Caenorhabditis elegans: one gene and its partner. The protein of the gene in region 2 interacts with the protein of the main gene of each other region in a biochemical or structural test. Each region holds a gene or a part of one and is shown on either strand. Other genes may lie near its edges.

Region 1 (9,975 bases), 4.8 Mb from region 2:
TAATTTTGAAATATTATTATTTTTAAAGCAAAACCTCGCTGGCTGAGACTACCACTTTTAAATAATTTTCCTGAAACATATGGTGGCACTGAAATCTAGAAATTGTGTACAAAATATAGATTTGACTATAAGGTGTCAGAAATAAGAAAAAACGTGAAAGTGTACTGAAGCGAGAAATCGAGAATTCCTCCTCCACCTCCGGATCTCTTTTGACTCTTGCTTAGAATGATCTTGATACACATTAAAATTCAGAATATACATACATTTCCGGCCTCTTTGCCCCGTGCCTTGCGGCTCAAGGCTTAAGGAAAAAAATACGAATTAAAATAGAAATAAATGTTGAAGGAAGGAATAAGAAGGAGTAAGAAAATAAATAAAAATAAATAAATGGAAAGGAGAGAAAAGTAAACTTGGATGAAGAAATAAAGGATCAGATGACTGAAAATGAATAGAAAATAAGAAAAAACGAAACGGATTCTAGTTGAAGATTGAGACGATGTACAGAAAATGACTGATACGTTTTTAAAAGTTCTAAAAAAATTTGTGTGAAATGTGTGAAATGCGCAGATAAGCTCTGGAGTGGAGTAGAAAAATAGGGAGATATTTTTAAAAATTTTAAAAAATTAAATCCAAAAACTAAAAAAAAAAATTTCACTTCTACATTCCACATCTCACAAGTCTGTTTCTGGTGTTGATTCCTGAATCTACTGTAACTCTAATAGTGCAAGACTTAGTTCAGGCAATGAACAAAATTTGATCCTACTTTTGCCAATATTCACGGAAAGGGTAATCAAAATTTTGTTAAAATTGGGTGCAACCACAAAAGAAGTGTTGTCCAAGTTATGCTCAACTCTTCCCAATTTCCTTCCCATTTTAAAATTTTTTGGGCAAACATCAACTGTTGCCACCTACACAAAACATAAAAAATCGGATTTTTTCTTAAAAATTAATCATTTTCTGTGAATCATGTTGAAAAATATTTAAACTAGTGGAAGTACGTTAAATCGCAGAAAAACCATTTGAGATTGACATGAACCTAGTTGTATTAATGAAAATAAAAATTGTTAAGTGGAAAAAAATGGAAAAAAATATTGTGGCAATCCGAGCAGTTTGTTTATTTGTATAGTCAATGCCTTAGTAAAATAGTGCATTCATTCCCATCTCGTTTATTCTAAAACCATAGACTACTACTAAAGAGGATCTTCAAAATTAAATTAAAGCCCACAAACGATGAGCAGCTAAACAAAATGAAATAGAATGTGAGGCGCCGGTTCGGAACAAATGAAAATTTTTGTGTTTTGAAACAAAAATTGCTTGTTCTTCATTGTTGTATCCAATGAAAGTGTGTTTTCGTTTAAAAAATTGAAAATCCAATTTGATACGGTTCACTGAACTTTTGTTTCTGCAAAAAAGGATGTGTTTAATTGATGAGTTTAAGTTCAAAAATCTATTTATTTTTATTGTGTGACTTTTGATGCCTATGTATGTTTGAGAAGATTTAATTTCATTCGGAGGTGAAGAACAATAAAGGTTATTTTTTAGAAAATTTGAAAACGATTTTATAACTTTGAAAACTTGTTTGGCAAATAATTTTCAAAAACCCTGGTACGGGAAGAATTTACAGACAGCCAATTAGTATATATGTTTCTATTACAGATATCCTAGATTTTATTTCTGCTTTTGCACATTTTGCGCGGTGCTTCTTGTTTTCATGGTTTCATGGTTCTGATGTAGCTAACATACATTAATACTTCGTTGGTATCTCCTGTCCAATTTTTTTTCTGATTACATTCAAACACTTTCGATTTTTAACAACGTTTCTATTCAATTTCTATATTTATTTGGCATTTGACATTTTTTACAACCCGAAAACGACTAGAATTGGCGCGTAAAAGAGATCATAACCTACTTGTAGAAAAAATGCAAAGAGATCATTGAAAGTAAAACAAATAAGAAAAAGAAAATGATATTAAATGTGAACACTGCTATCAAGTACAAGATCAATTTTAATCATTGGAATAGCATGAGTTGGAGATGAAGGGCTCTTACGAGTTGGTAGAGCAGAGCAACGAGTCTGAAAAATAGGAATATTTGGAATAAACAATTGTTTGATTTCTTACCAATGGGCGTTTTGGTTTTGGACGACAGTAAGCTAATACCGAGGAGCGAAATGATTTATTCATGAAACAGTAGGTGATTGGATTTGCCAAAGAGCTGATGTATGTCATGATTGTCAATGATGAGTTGAGTCCAGGATTCCACAAATCAGTCGCCTGTAATGATATGATTCGTTTGGTCGAATGTTTTGGCCGAAAAAATCAGTAAATGTTATGCAAAAATATTATACAATTGGAAAATTAAAATGTATATTTGGTATTTGTAAATTCTCCAAAACTATATGCCGCTCAGATCCGTTCCAAATAGAATTAGTTTGATTTTCGTTTGAAAAGGAAATTGAAAAACTTGGAAAATCTTCCGAAAAAACTCACCGCTAGTTCAGCCATTCTGAGTAGTAGCCAATACAGGTAAGATGGCACCCAACAAAATGCAAAAACAATCACAAGTGTTATCAACATTCGGGTCACTTTCTTCTTGGCGATCAGGATCTTTTCCTGGAAAACATATACTTTATTACAAATATTTTTTATTGACAACCATTATTCATTTCGTTAAAAAAATGCTCATAATAAATCCAAGTTGTAAAGATTACAATAACTTTGATAGAAAACAGTATCTTATTCCAGAGCATCGTATTTTAATATTCTCGGTAATTTTTGATTCCTAGCACACAGTGCCGAACGGTGGAAATCTGCTTTGGAATTGGATGTCTAGTTTTTTTAGTGCTGACTGGGTTTTCTGAAAAGGCACAACAAAAACTGTACTATAATTGAAACTAAACAAATAGTTAAGCTGTCCCATTTTTTAAAATATTGTTGTGATTTCTCGAAAACTCACTTGATTTGTGCTCCTTAAAAGCATCGTAACATCAAACGATCCACGTGGTGTTGAGAAAAAGGATGAAAACGATGATCTACTGGGACGAACAGACAATCCGCTTGTTTGAGGAATTGACAGAGAGTTTTTCTCTTTGAATTGAAACTGGAAATATTCAATACGACACTATTTTTCAACTATTATATAAACTTACAGTTTTTGAAACAACTTTCATACTTGGAACTCGTTGCACTGCACTAACAAACCAATCCGAAAATGAAGCACGAGACGGGAGAGCTGAAAACTTGCACAGTGTATGGAGACCAAATGCTGGAACCTACTTTTTTCAATCATCTGCTGTTCAACTGTGGGATGATCACTGTTAATGGCAGTATTCAGAGTGATTATCACATTTCCATAGAGACCGACCATCAGGGCAAGAGGTACGAATAATAGTGTCTGAAACGTTTCAATTCGGTAAAGTTTATGAAAATGTTGCAAATGGTGAAACATTTAACAGAAGATACAAAATAATTTCGCTCCATTAAAATATTTTTCAAAAAATTGGATCAGTAATATTTTTTATGTTTAATCCAATAGTTTTGATAACTTTACTCATCAAATGCTTAAAGATGCTAGACTCCATTTTATGTAATGTATGAAAATTCTATACTAACTGTAATTTTTGAAAACAAAAACCTACAAAAGTTAAATAAAGTTGGTAGATAAAATCAACGAGTGGTCCTTTCGTGGAGTCACACGTGAATTTTCCAGGGTTAGCGTCGTAGAGGAAAAGACTTGTTAAATTGGCTGAGAAGCTGAAGCACCATACCAATGAAATTGTTATCAGTGCTCGTTTCTGGAAATATAATTCTTTGGATGAACACCACAAATAAGTGGGAGATGTACCTTTGTCTGCCATTTTCTTGATTCCAATGGTCGACAAATTGCATAGTATCGTTCAATGGCAATGACAGCAAGAGTGTACGCGGATGCACAAACTCCGACAGCTGAAAACTTGATAGATATAGCGAAAGAAATTTGAACTGAATAAAATAATTTTTGGTTTCTGATATTACACACCTACAAGCCCTACCCGATACCTATCCTGTTGGACAATTATATTGGTGTTTTTGGAACTTTGCTGAAATGCTTAAAATCTGATCAAGATGTTGTGTTTTGACTCAAAATAAAAATCAGTGGGGAGCTGAGATAAAAACAGAATTTTCAGGCGTATCCAGCCTCAGATTCGCTTAGCTGACGATTTTTTTGAGCCAAATGTCCTCCCGGGTTTTTTGGACATTCCCCAGTTAGTAATTTGGCTACTATTCCGTTAGAAGGAAACCCTTGATTTAAAATTCAAATTTGGTGTTTCCTTTTCATTGAGTAAACAATCATAATAATAATCCATAGAACACTCTCTCAACTTACCCACATCTATTTCAAAGACTAAAGACTAAAACCAGTTGTATGTCTGAAAAATGTTCATCCTCCCAATTAATTCTCATTTTTCTCTCATTTCATTTTTAATTCCGATACTCCTCGTCATTTTTGATTGATGTACTACTTTTCTCATAATCCTTTTTTCACTTCCTCTTTGAATTTTCACTTACGTTGAAGAAATGCGACAATTTTACACATGGCGGCACCAAGGAGCCAACATTGTGTCAATTCACCAAGAAGTGTACTTGGAATACATATAATACTACGAAGAAGATCTGCAAATGCCAAGTTGAGAAGATAGAAATTTGTGATGCTTCTGGATCGATGTGATTTTCCGAGGATTGTGAGGATCACTGAAAATAATAAAAATTGCATTTTATGTTGCAATAAAATTTTTGAAAAATCGAAACTCGTTTTAAGAAACTAGACAAATTCTGGACTTTTATTTATTTTTTAAAATTTGTATCGGATCCTTCTGACTTTGAGAATGAAAAATGTTTTCAATTCAATCAATTCAAAATATTATTAAACATTTAATAAAAATAAGTTATACAGAAAACCAAAACAAAATAATAATTTAGTTTGAAACAGTTTTATGGAAACTTAAATTTCAACCAAATCTATTTCAAAAAAATTTTGTTAATTAATTTTTTGCGTATTTCAATGGCGATTTATATTTTTTTTAAATTCAAGATCCTCTATTGTTTTCTCACTTTCAAAAAAAAACTCTCATTTACTTTACTTTTTTTTCAATGAGTTATACTTGATCTTTGCCCACTTATTGAAATTGAATTCCAGAACAAATAGAATATTCAAAACCCCTTTTTGACTTTTAAAAATCTCTCAAATTTTGGAACAGGTGTCTCGGTGGCGTTCAAAGATCAAGTGACACCAGAAAATACGCCAATTGTTTTTTCTACATTTCTATAAAAGGCAAGTAATAATTTATAGATCAGCTATAAAAATATATTAGTTCCAAACTAATTTCAATCTGAATTTCTTACTTTTAATCCAATTTTTCAAAATTTTGATGTTAATTTCTTTTTTTTTAAATTTAATTTTGAATAATTTTTAGTTTAAATTTTTTGGCGTTTGTACATTTCATATTTTCTCAAACCCTTCTTCCTGTAAAAAATAAAAATATATCGCGAGCTTTTCTTTTCACTTCTGCTCAAAAATTCATTTCCTCAAAAAGATGGGATTCCCGAAAAGTCTTAAAATTCTTGAAAACAAAAATGGACAAATAACTTGTCAAATTTCATATTCCCTCTAAAATATGTCTCGCCTTTCCATTTCCCTTAGGAGTGTCATATCGGTGGTCCTATTTTAGACATAACAAGTCCAAAACACACTTTTTCAGAATAGAATTCTTTGCTCTTTCTCTTTTCGTAAAAGGTTCGGATTTCTAACTGGGAATAATAATGTCAATTCGAATAAAATATTCCAAAAATGTTCATAAATGTTAGAATAAATATGAAATATTTGAATAATGACACAGCTTTGATGCATTTTTTGAAGTTTTTTTTTTATGTTTTTCAAAAACGGGCTATTTCAATAAAAAATGAATCAAAAAATGTACAAATATTTTTCGAAACTTTCAAATTTATAAGATTGTATTTAAGATTGTATTTGTTTAAAATTAAGCTTTAAAAAATTTACCAATTGCATTTCCAAGTAGTGAAAGTATAAGACATAGTAGAAATATTGACGATATCATAATTGTATAAGGACTGATTATCACTGAACATTCTTTTGGCATTGTGTATCTGAAAATTTTTAATTTTAAATGAGATATTTCTAGAAAAATATTTGGAAAAGTGCGGAAAAAGGAAATTATAAAAATAATATTTTCCTTTTTTAAAACAAGATTTCACGATTATTTTATCAGCCTTGAACTACAAATTTGGGATATTTCAGAAAAATTTCAAAAAGATCTCAGGTGCTAGCATCTCATCTAAGTAAATCGAAGTAAAGAATAAAAAATAAATAAATAGTTTGAAAATCAAAATATTCTCAAAAATCAGCTGATATCACCAAATAGGTGGGACTGAACGGAAAGAAGCAAAAATTTGAAGACATCAGAAAGGAAATTCGAATAAATCAAAACTTGTGATCACGGGAAGAAATAATGAAATAAGTGATTCAGAAGTTTGTAGTTTGGAAGAACTCATAAAAATAGTAAAGTTGAACGGGAAAAAGTTATTTCAGGGAATTATTTTTTTAGGAACGTGACATTTGATGGCTGGATAATTGTTCTGGGTCAAAAAGAAAAGGGCGAAAAAAAGAAACGGGATGACAAAGGAAATAAATGTTTCAAAATATTTGAGAGTTATGATTAATAATCTTTGCTTTTGAAATTCTGAGAATTATCAGATAAGTATTATATTTTATATGCTTATTGATTTATAGAAGTTTTCTTAGAATTTTATGATTTAGTGCCTAACCCGAAATTTTCCCTTTTTTAATTTTCAAATCAGTTTCATTTGGGACAGTGTAGCCATGATATCTAACTTTTTTACAAAAATTGTTCGATTTCAGCAAATTTTTTTAATGAACAAAGTTTTGGTTGTATAAAAATTTACACCACGATAAGCTCTCCGAGTAGGCAGAGCCTATTTTAAAAGGATCATACTTCTGCCTAGTGCTTGCAAACAGTTGAATTGAAGTGATAAAAAATTAAGCATATGCGGAATTAGGTATGCTATCTGAAAAAGTTTACCGCAAACTGCAACAACGAAATTGGAATTTTGAAAAAATGTTGAAGAAAAAATTAAACATCTCATAAAACCAATAATAAATAAATTCATAAATGGAAGATTATCAGAAACTTGTATAGATTTTTGGTTTTCTCTAAGAAAATGAAACAATTATTATTGAAACTATATATGGAATATAGAAATAGATGAAAGGTGGCACGAGACAGAAGAAGCGGGGGCAAATAAAAAGTAAATAGATCAATCTAGAATATGTCTTTCTCTCGATTTTCTTTGAGTTCTTCTTATTTGAATTGTGATATGTAATTGGATCAAGTATCACACAACCCCCTTTCACACCCGGACCCCCGTTTTCTTCCTTCTCTGCGAAGGTGGGCGGAGTCTGAGCTTTTGCTCTACAATTCTGTGCTCTCTTTCCTTCCAGTCACCCCATCTGTTCTGAATATAAGAGAAAAAATGGGAAAAAAGATGAAAAATGAATTAGACCCTTAGGGCATGTTTGACTTGAAAAAAAGTAAACATGGTGCAACCAACATGTACGATTTTAAGAAAATTTTCGGGTACTTTTTGCAAAAACGTTTTCTTGAAACATATTATAAAGTTCAGAGCAGCTTTAAATTAGGAAACGACCAATCAAAAAACCAATACTACTATCTAGGACTATTTTTGCAAGTACTTGAGAAAAACCAAAAACAATAGAAGTAAACAAAACACAAAGAAACTTTATTCATACTCTTTGAAAAAGGAGAATCCACTTGAAAAGTTTAGCTCCATTTAACGAAGAGCACAACACAAACCGCCCCCTTTCTCTATCTCACAGGCTTTTGTCTTTCTTTTTTTGTTTTTTCTACTAGGAACTTTTTTCTCCGAATGATTTCATGAAATCTCACACAGAGCCATTGAAATTCGGAAATTTAATACAAGACCTCTGTGATTAGAGATTGACAGAATAGGAAACAATACGATTTTCAAAAAATCTTTCTGACAATTGCAGCGGAAACGAAAAAAAACCAGACAAGGGTAATATGACGCACAATCGGAAGAAATTAGAGATTAATTAGAAATTGAGTGGACATTTGTGAAACATTGTTTTTGAATCAAAAGATTAATTTGCCAATTAAGAAAAACATGAGATTTCAAGCATTATTATTGAAAAATTGAGTAAACTTACAAGTAAACTTATTGAAAATGAGAGACTAAAAAATTGCGCAAGATCAAGGTATTTAACTAACCCGTTATAATTGACTATTGATGGGAATAGTAATTTTCAGATAGAGCACTTCAAGAAATGTTTGGTTACATTTATTTGTTACCTTCACTAAAACGATAATTTTTGTGAGCATGTTCGAAATTAATGACTGGAATGTTTGCATGTTTGCTACGACGCTATTTAACTAATTAAAATATCAAACATTTATATCAAAAATTTCTATCAAAAATTAACTTGAAGATAAATCATCAGATTCTCTGAAAATGATTATTAATTTTTCATAAATAAAACTTTCTGACCTCATTCTCAATATTTTTAAGACACCATAAAAGATGAGAACAAGCCCATCAATTTGCTCTAAAATTCTGACCAATGACCGTAAATGCTTGATTTATTTCAATTGGTTTGTTTTTTGATGACGCCTTTTTGCGATTTAGTCATACCTGAATTTTTTGAAAAGAATTCTACGGTACTTTCAAAAAATATATGCATTGAAACTGGAAAAGAAAAAGCGTTCCATAATGCATACGTGAGAACCTTAAAAAACTTGAAAAATAAATATTTGAGGAAAGATATTCTTATAATTAGTTTTTTGTGTAAGCTCCCTTGAACAATCCCTTGAACGAAAAAAAACAAGTTTTGGCACTGCATAAATAAAAGTTTTCAAGTTTTGATCGTTATCAAAGGTGAACTCGAGCTGGTGCACGAGGGGGTTTGTTGTTTAATTTCAAACTCATTTTAACTTTGTGATCAAGAACTGGAAGGATTCTATCGAAATGTTTACGTGACATTTTTGAATGTTTTTGTTGAATTCATTTGAAAACAAGATTCGCAAAATTTGCGTCAAGATGTGATTGATTTTACAGATAACATGAAACTGAAGCAGAAAAATTAGTGAGAATAAATTTTTTTCCAGTCGAGACTTTAGTTCAAGTGACATGAGAGGGGCACTACTATTGGAGGATATAGTTATTTTTTAAAGATTCATTTTAAAACGTCCTTTTTTTGGGTCAAAGTAGAATTTCCATAGAACAAAGAGAACAGAGAAGAACATTAAAAAAGGGCAAATTGTAAAATTTGTTAGAAGAAAACGCACATCAGAAAACTAATTTTTTTTTCTTAACCCCATCCTGGGGGCGTGATTAGCATTCTTCTAAGTATCCACCAGTTTCTAGAAGAAAAAAATCGAGAAGCACGCAAAAAGAAACTTTCAGAAACGAGATTTTCAATTTTGGCTAATTTTCCAGTTTGAATTTCTGCCTAAATTCGAGCTGCAACACCAATCAGTTCTTCGTTTTGCTCACTTTTGAATCAATCAGCGACGGCAAACTTCATGCAGTGTATCTGATTATTTCAACAGTGAGCGGAGCGATGAGCTGATTGAATCTCCATCTTTAAACAAGCTTTCGCTATAACTCAATTTTACGCTGAATTCTATTATTCTGAATTTCAAAAACTAAATGGATATAAAATGAATGGACAATTGATGTACGATGGCACAGATGAGCAATAAAATTTTTGGACGGCAAAATGAAAAAATGGAAGGAAAAATGACTGGAACGCCAAACACAAAAAATAACAAAACGATAGAGTTACCCCCTACACTCGTTCATGAAATAGAAACACCAAAATTTATAAGAATTCAAAATGTTATGGGATTACGGGAAAATGAGA
Region 2 (6,641 bases):
CTCCATCCACACAGCAAATAATCGAACCATTTTGGTGAAGTACATCCTTTCCATGGGCATGGAATTGGTGAGCTCCATGATTCGTATTTTGAGTCGAAATTCGAAAAAACTATCGAATTCGTGTCGTTTTTTGCGGCCAGAATTGTGGTCGCCGCGTCGATGGCCATTGGGAAGACACCATAGTCATGGTAATCGATATGCTCGCCTGGAAATGTTACGGTAGCTGCACATGGTGTCAAAACTCTCATTTCTGCTTGATCTACGTTGATCTACAAAAAATGCGGGAGAAGAGAAGCAAAGTTCTCAACTGATTTCGCATAGTGAAGAACGTGCTGACGTCACCTGTTTTTGGGAAAAAAATTCCCGCTTTTTTTTGTAGATCAAACCGTAATGGGACAGCCTGGCACCACGTGTAGCTGATAAAATTTCATTCGTGCCAAGACCTAAGGCAGCAGTTTTGCAACTAAACTTTCATTTTTCAAAATAAAAAAGTGTCATTTTTCTCTCAATTGTTTCAAGTTCCTATGATTTTTGCAAGTCTGTGGTCAGTTAACCATGACGATCTATGTAGGCTCGTGTACTCCCCGAGGAGAAGATTTAATTTTTTGTATTACATGAACACAAAATTCTGAGAATGCGTATTGCACAACATATTTGACGCGCAAAATATCTCGCAACGAAAACTACTCTTTAAATGACTACTGTAGCGCTCTTGTGTCGATTTACGGGCTCAGGTGAATATAAATAATTTATTTATCGATAGAGTACTGAAAATCGGTTAAAAATGACCAATGAGCCGCTAAATCGACACAAACGCTACAGTAGTAATTTAAAGACTTACTGTAGTTTTCGCTACGAGATATTTTGCGCGTCAAATATGTTGTGCAATATGCATTCTCAGAATTTTGTGTTCCCGTAATAGTCAAAATTTCAAATTTCAAATTATCTTTTATTTTATAAAATACAATTTTAGGTGTTTGAGGAGAAAATCTATAATTTCAACGTGTCCCTGATACCTGAACCCTGATAGGAAAAAAACCCGGGACTTTTAACACTTTTTGGGTCCTGGCACGATTGAAACTTCAAAATTTTGAGCTACCGTAACCGCGGAAATATTTCGAAATGCTTTTTATTATTTTTAATACATTTTTTATACAGTAAAGCAAAATTTCCAGAGAAACATATATTTCTGCGAAAGTTTCGATCGTGGCAAGACCAATAACAACGTACCAATCAAATTAACACGGCCCGGACACGTGACACGAACTTCTGGCTCAATACCATACAATTTGACGAATTGCTCGGCGAGCTGCTCATTTGAGACCATTTTTAACGAATTTCTGAAACTATATAATAGGAAATTGGAAGTTGTAGAAAAGACAATAGGGGCACCACCACCTATAACAAACAAAATAATATTTATATGACTGTCTGCGTCTCTAACATGTTGACCATACTCTGTGTTGCCCGCCGCCACGTGTTGCGTGCATGGTGTACTGGGAATCTGATAGATAAGGGATTCGATGATGTTCAGTACGGTCTGCGCCTTTGAGGATTACTGTAGTTCACACATTTTCTTATTTTCGAGAAAAATCTATTCAAATAAATACCAAAATTTTTGGACAAACCAAATTTAAAATATCAAAACCCATGTTTTTTTTAAACAAGTGAGCAACGAAAATTTTCGAATTACAGTAATCTTTAAAGGCGCACATATATTTTCGCATTTAATGAAAATGTGTCGCTTCGAGACCGGCTTCAGCATTTTTTGAAGCAGAATTTCTCATCTCGGTAATATGCCTCTTTCTTGACGTTTTCCTAAATTTTTGTCGACAAATTCGACAAATCGGCAATTTGCCGATTTGCCGGAAATTTTCATTTTTGGCAAATTGCCGTTTGCCGGATATCAGATTTGCCGGAAATGTTTAGAGGAATTTTTACAAGACGGAAACACTTAAAACTGTGTCATTTTGAATTTTTTCCCGTTTTTTAAAGGATATTTTCATAAAATTTGCTTAATTTTCAAAATAGATGTAGGAAAATTCATAGGATGCGTTTAATTTTGCCATTTGAAATTAAAATTCCAAAATTTCCAAAAAATAATAAAAACAAAATCACAATTTGCCGAAAATTTTCGGAAAATTGTTGTTTTTCCGGCTACTTGCGGGTTTGCCGGAAACTTAAAATTCCGGCAATTTGCCGATTTGCCGGAAAAAAATCGTTTACCGCCCACCCCTGAACTACAGTACTCCTTAAAGGCGCACACTGGTTTGCAAAAAGATAATCTAGACTGGGTCCCGTCACGGCTCAGAGTTTTTTCCAGAATTTTCAAAGCGAAATTACAAGTTTGTGTTAGTAGCTTCCATCGCGACGAGACCCAGAATATTCCACAATAGGTCTCACCACGAAGCAAAATAGTTATTAATTGCCGGCGTGGCGAGACCCACAGAAACACGTGTTGTCAGGCTGTCCCATTACGGTTTGATCTACAAAAAATGCGGGAATTTTTTGCCAAAACACTCTGCAAAGAACTCTGCGTCTCAACTCCCGCATTTTTGTAGATCTACGTAGATCAAACCGAAATGAGAAAAAGCTTTATTCAAAGTTTTTTGTTTTGATTTTAATTGCAAAAAAGAAAAGAAATTCTTCAACAATAAAATGATTCATTGGCGACTGTCTCTGTGTTGGTTATTAGAAAAAAATAAATCGTTCGATTGGTGGTTTGGATGGCGGAGCAGGGAAAAATAGTTAGACGGGGTCGGTTATTGCCATTCCCAGATTGGCTCGAGCACAACTGGTCCAGAGCTGCCGCTGCTTCGCTTTCCGAACTGGAGAGGCCGATAGTCGCGTTTTCCGAACTGCAATGGACGGTACCCATCTCGCTTGCCGAACTGCAATTTATGTGTGTATAATATTTTTAACTTTTTTTAAAATGTCTTGTTCCCTACCTGAAGTGGCCGGTAATCGCGATCCTGACGGTCAAACGTCGGCGACTGTGTTGCAAAAACTGTAAAAAAAACGGAAGTAATTTTTAGAAAAAAAATTGGCCTAAAAATTGGCCTAAAAATAGTATTAAAACGACGAACCCTCCACGAATACGAGGATGAGCATGAGCAGGGCGCAGCTGTGGTGGCGGAGCATTTTGTCGGAGGCAATTGAAATAAGTTTCGCCGAGTCGAGGTGTCGGGCTTTTATACCACCCCCCCCCCCATCAGTAAACTACAGATTCGTCATATTTCCCAACGGAGCCGGGGGGACCACGCCTTTCCCCCCTACCATTTTGGTTAGCTTCTGGAGTTGATGGGCTCGTAAAAACTGAGAGAGAGATTCATAGCGTTTATCCAAATGAAGTGATGAAAATGGGGTGAAAGGATTTAAAGAAAAAGAGTGATGGGGGAGGGAGAGGGGTAAAAATAGCGATTTCAACAGTCAAAGAAAAAAATAGAAATTTAAAAAATAATTTAAATAGTATCCTCCGGATTCGTCTCGGCCACGAGCTTCAACTGCTCGGCGTTCTCGATCAAGAAGTAGGCGAAGACGGCGATGAAGACGAAGAGAATTGTGAATGTGATCTGGAAAATAGAAAATAAGTTTTTATTGCCAGAAAAAGGGCGAAAAACTCACCGTGCTTCCCAAGAATCCTCCTTTGTTGCTCTGAGCTTGACGAGCCGATGCCCGATCGGCGGCCATTTCCTCTTCCGTCAAGTATCGCATCGACTCCTCGCAATCGTCGCTGTCCGATTCGGGAGAGGTAGTAGCTGCCGCTGTTGCAGCTGACACGTTCTGGAAAACTCGTTGTGGCGGTGATTTCTTCGGTGACGAGCTGATGATCAATGAATCCTCGTTGAATTGAGAGTCGTTGAGATTTGATTGATCTGGAAATTAGAGGTTCGAAAACTTTAAAAATGTTATTTAGAAATTAATAAATAATTTAAATTCAAATCCTCACTGTTAATGCTTCCGTCTGATAACTTGATAAGCTTCTTCTCGTAGAGCTTGCGGGTCGTCGCCACAATTGGCCCAACAGAAACCCCGTGGCTTTTAAGGCTATCGCGTAGTTCGGCATCTGTCAGCTGGGAGACGTCCATTTTTTGTGAGATGGTCTGGAAAAAGCAAAAAATGACAATTTTCAAGCAAAAATTGAGGAAAACGAGCGATTTTCTACCTAAAATCTTGAGAAAATCGTTTATTTATTGAACATTTTACCAAAAAAATTAAAAATGCCCATTTTTTGTGAGATGGTCTGGAAAAGGCAAAAAAATGACAATTTTCGAGCAAAAATTGAGGAAGGGCGATTTTCTACTTAAAAAATGGTTTATTCATTGATTTTTCACCGAAAAAATGAAAAATTCTACAAAAAACTGATTAAAAACAGGAGAAAATGAAAAATTATGAAAAAATAATTTCAAACCCAAGTCAAATTGGCTGAGAGACAACGCGACGGCGAGAGACGCAGAGTGGACGGGTCTCGTCACGATATCGCTTTGTGTCGATTTACGGAGGAATTTCCAGCCCGCAGATTTAAATCAATGATTTTCGCGCGCGCTTTTTTTCCTGAATCATGATTCGAATCATACATAAATAAAATACGGAAAACGAGGTTTTTTTAATAAAGTTTCAACCATTTCTTTTTGTCCACAAAACATTTACATAAAATTAGATCAATGTTAATAGAAATAAATATGAAATTAAAAACTATCGCAAAAAGTCGATACAATAATGGGGAAGAAGAAGGGGGGATGGTGTGTGGATGGGGGATGGTTTTTTTTTCGGTTGAGAAGAAGAAGAAGGAAAAATGACAAAAAAAAATCGATGAAAAATGGAAAAAAATAGGGTGGGGGGGAGGATTTCGAGGTTAGCTTGATGGGAAAAAAATATGAAAAACGGGATTTTTAGGGTAAGGGTGAAGTTTGGGGAGGGGAGTGGAGAAAGCATTCGATAATTTTCGAAAAAAATATGGTGAAAACTCAAAAAAAACGTTATAATATTTGAATTATGTGGATGTGGGTGGGAGAAATTGAAGTTGAGGAGGAAAAAAAAACTATGTCCAACACGAAAAATGTGTTTTTTTTGTGGTTAGAATTGTTAGAAAGGTAAAAAAAATAAAAATTTGAATCAAGACAAAAAAAAACGAAAGAAGCGGCGGTTTGTTGTGGGGATTTTTGTGAGAAAAAAAAAGACAAAAAAAAAAATTTTTTTTGTGAATGACAGAGAGACTAGGTGGTGTTTTTGCATGCCGGAAACTAGGTTGATGGGTAGGGAAGGATGTGAAAACCGACTTTTTGTGATGATAAATGAGTATAGACAGGACAGAAAGAGAGAGAGAGAGAGAGAGAGAGAAGTTTTGTTTCTTTTTGCATTAGCTATATCAGAAAGCACATCCAAAAAAAGAAGAAAAAAGTGCTTATATGGAAAGAATATTCGGGAGGAGCATTTGTTTTAGGGAGGAAAATGAGAAAATAAGAAAATAAGGAAGAGATGGAGAGAGAGACAGACAGAGAGAGAAAGTTTTTTGCAAAAAAAAAACAAAAATTAGAAGGAGTACAAGAAAATGTTTCCTAGGTTTAGGTGGTGGTGTCTCACTCGACCCAGTGAGAGAGAGAGAGAGAGAGAGATGGATCATCATCATCATCATCCAATCCGACATGCGACTTTCTTCTTACACCAAGTTGTACTCCTTCAGATTATGCTGTAGAATTGTGTCTTTGACGGCGGCGAACACGAACCGAATGTTTTCCGTATCTGAAATAGAGGTCCCTTTTATTTGAAAATTTTAGATATTTTTAAACAATTTTTTAGTAATTCGCCATGAGCAACTCTAAGTGTCCATGGGACACCGAATCGGTAACCCGTGGCTACCATAAGTGCTTTTCTCGAACACGGAGTTCTGGCTTCCCTGGAAGAGTTTGGGCCATTTTAGCTCGCCCATATCTGGAGTAGATTTACGGCGCGTTGCGTGTCGCGGCTCAATTCTAGTTGTAAAACTGAATTTATTTATCCGTGTGGAGTACACGACTTTATCCGGCAGACACGATTGTCAATGGAGCGCGAAAATTCAATGAAGAAGGCTAGAACCCCGTGCTCGAATATTTTCCACCTAGCAAACAAAGAAAAGACATACCAGTCGCGCACGTAAAATGAGAGTAGATAATCTTGTCGGCGTCCGGATTCAAGTCGACAAACATTTTGAGAATAAACTCGCGGGCGGCGATCGGATCGCGTGGGGGTCCTGAAAAGAAAACAATTTAGGTGGGTGAAATTTGCCCAAATAAAGTCTCTCAATAAAAGACTCTACAAACCGTCATATTCGGGAAAGTAGTCAGCGAGATGCGAGTACAGAATCTTCTCCTCGAGCAGATCCTTCTTGTTCAGGAATAGAATGACCGATGAGTTGGTGAACCATGGGTACGTGATGATCGTTCGGAACAGAGCTTTCGATTCTTCCATTCGGTTCTGCAAGATTGATTTCTAGTTTGTTTTTTTTTTGCACTATTGTAAGGATTATCACTCTACACTTCACATATTTTAGTTCTAGCTGACAATTTACAGAAAGAACGAGCGAAATCGGTAACGATTTCTACGACGAGAACAATTCGCGTGTTGGGAGAAACTCCTGTTTGAATTGGCGCCTTCGGTACCTG

Evidence for each region.
Region 1: the proteins of nlp-12 (region 2) and ckr-1 interact in a test that uses a peptide from one of them, tested with the Caenorhabditis elegans proteins (one large-scale study listed by BioGRID).

What each region holds. Positions count from the first base shown.
Region 1 is NC_003279.8:6,685,527-6,695,501, forward strand, and holds ckr-1 (G-protein coupled receptors family 1 profile domain-containing protein), read right to left. Parts: upstream 6,146-9,975; 5' UTR 6,137-6,145; coding exon 6,037-6,136; intron 4,731-6,036; coding exon 4,548-4,730; intron 3,945-4,547; coding exon 3,844-3,944; intron 3,794-3,843; coding exon 3,638-3,793; intron 3,394-3,637; coding exon 3,276-3,393; intron 3,232-3,275; coding exon 3,149-3,231; intron 3,100-3,148; coding exon 2,956-3,099; intron 2,613-2,955; coding exon 2,490-2,612; intron 2,274-2,489; coding exon 2,121-2,273; intron 2,075-2,120; coding exon 1,970-2,074; 3' UTR 1,823-1,969; downstream 1-1,822.
Region 2 is NC_003279.8:1,839,907-1,846,547, reverse strand, and holds nlp-12 (Neuropeptide-Like Protein), read right to left. Parts: upstream 3,165-6,641; 5' UTR 3,142-3,164; coding exon 3,087-3,141; intron 3,008-3,086; coding exon 2,949-3,007; intron 2,892-2,948; coding exon 2,763-2,891; 3' UTR 2,589-2,762; downstream 1-2,588. Other genes in the region: tag-96 (Galactokinase), read right to left, coding at 1-205, 1,231-1,327; emr-1 (Emerin homolog 1), read right to left, coding at 3,462-3,572, 3,625-3,875, 3,950-4,088; egl-30 (Guanine nucleotide-binding protein subunit alpha), read right to left, coding at 5,660-5,742, 6,122-6,229, 6,300-6,453.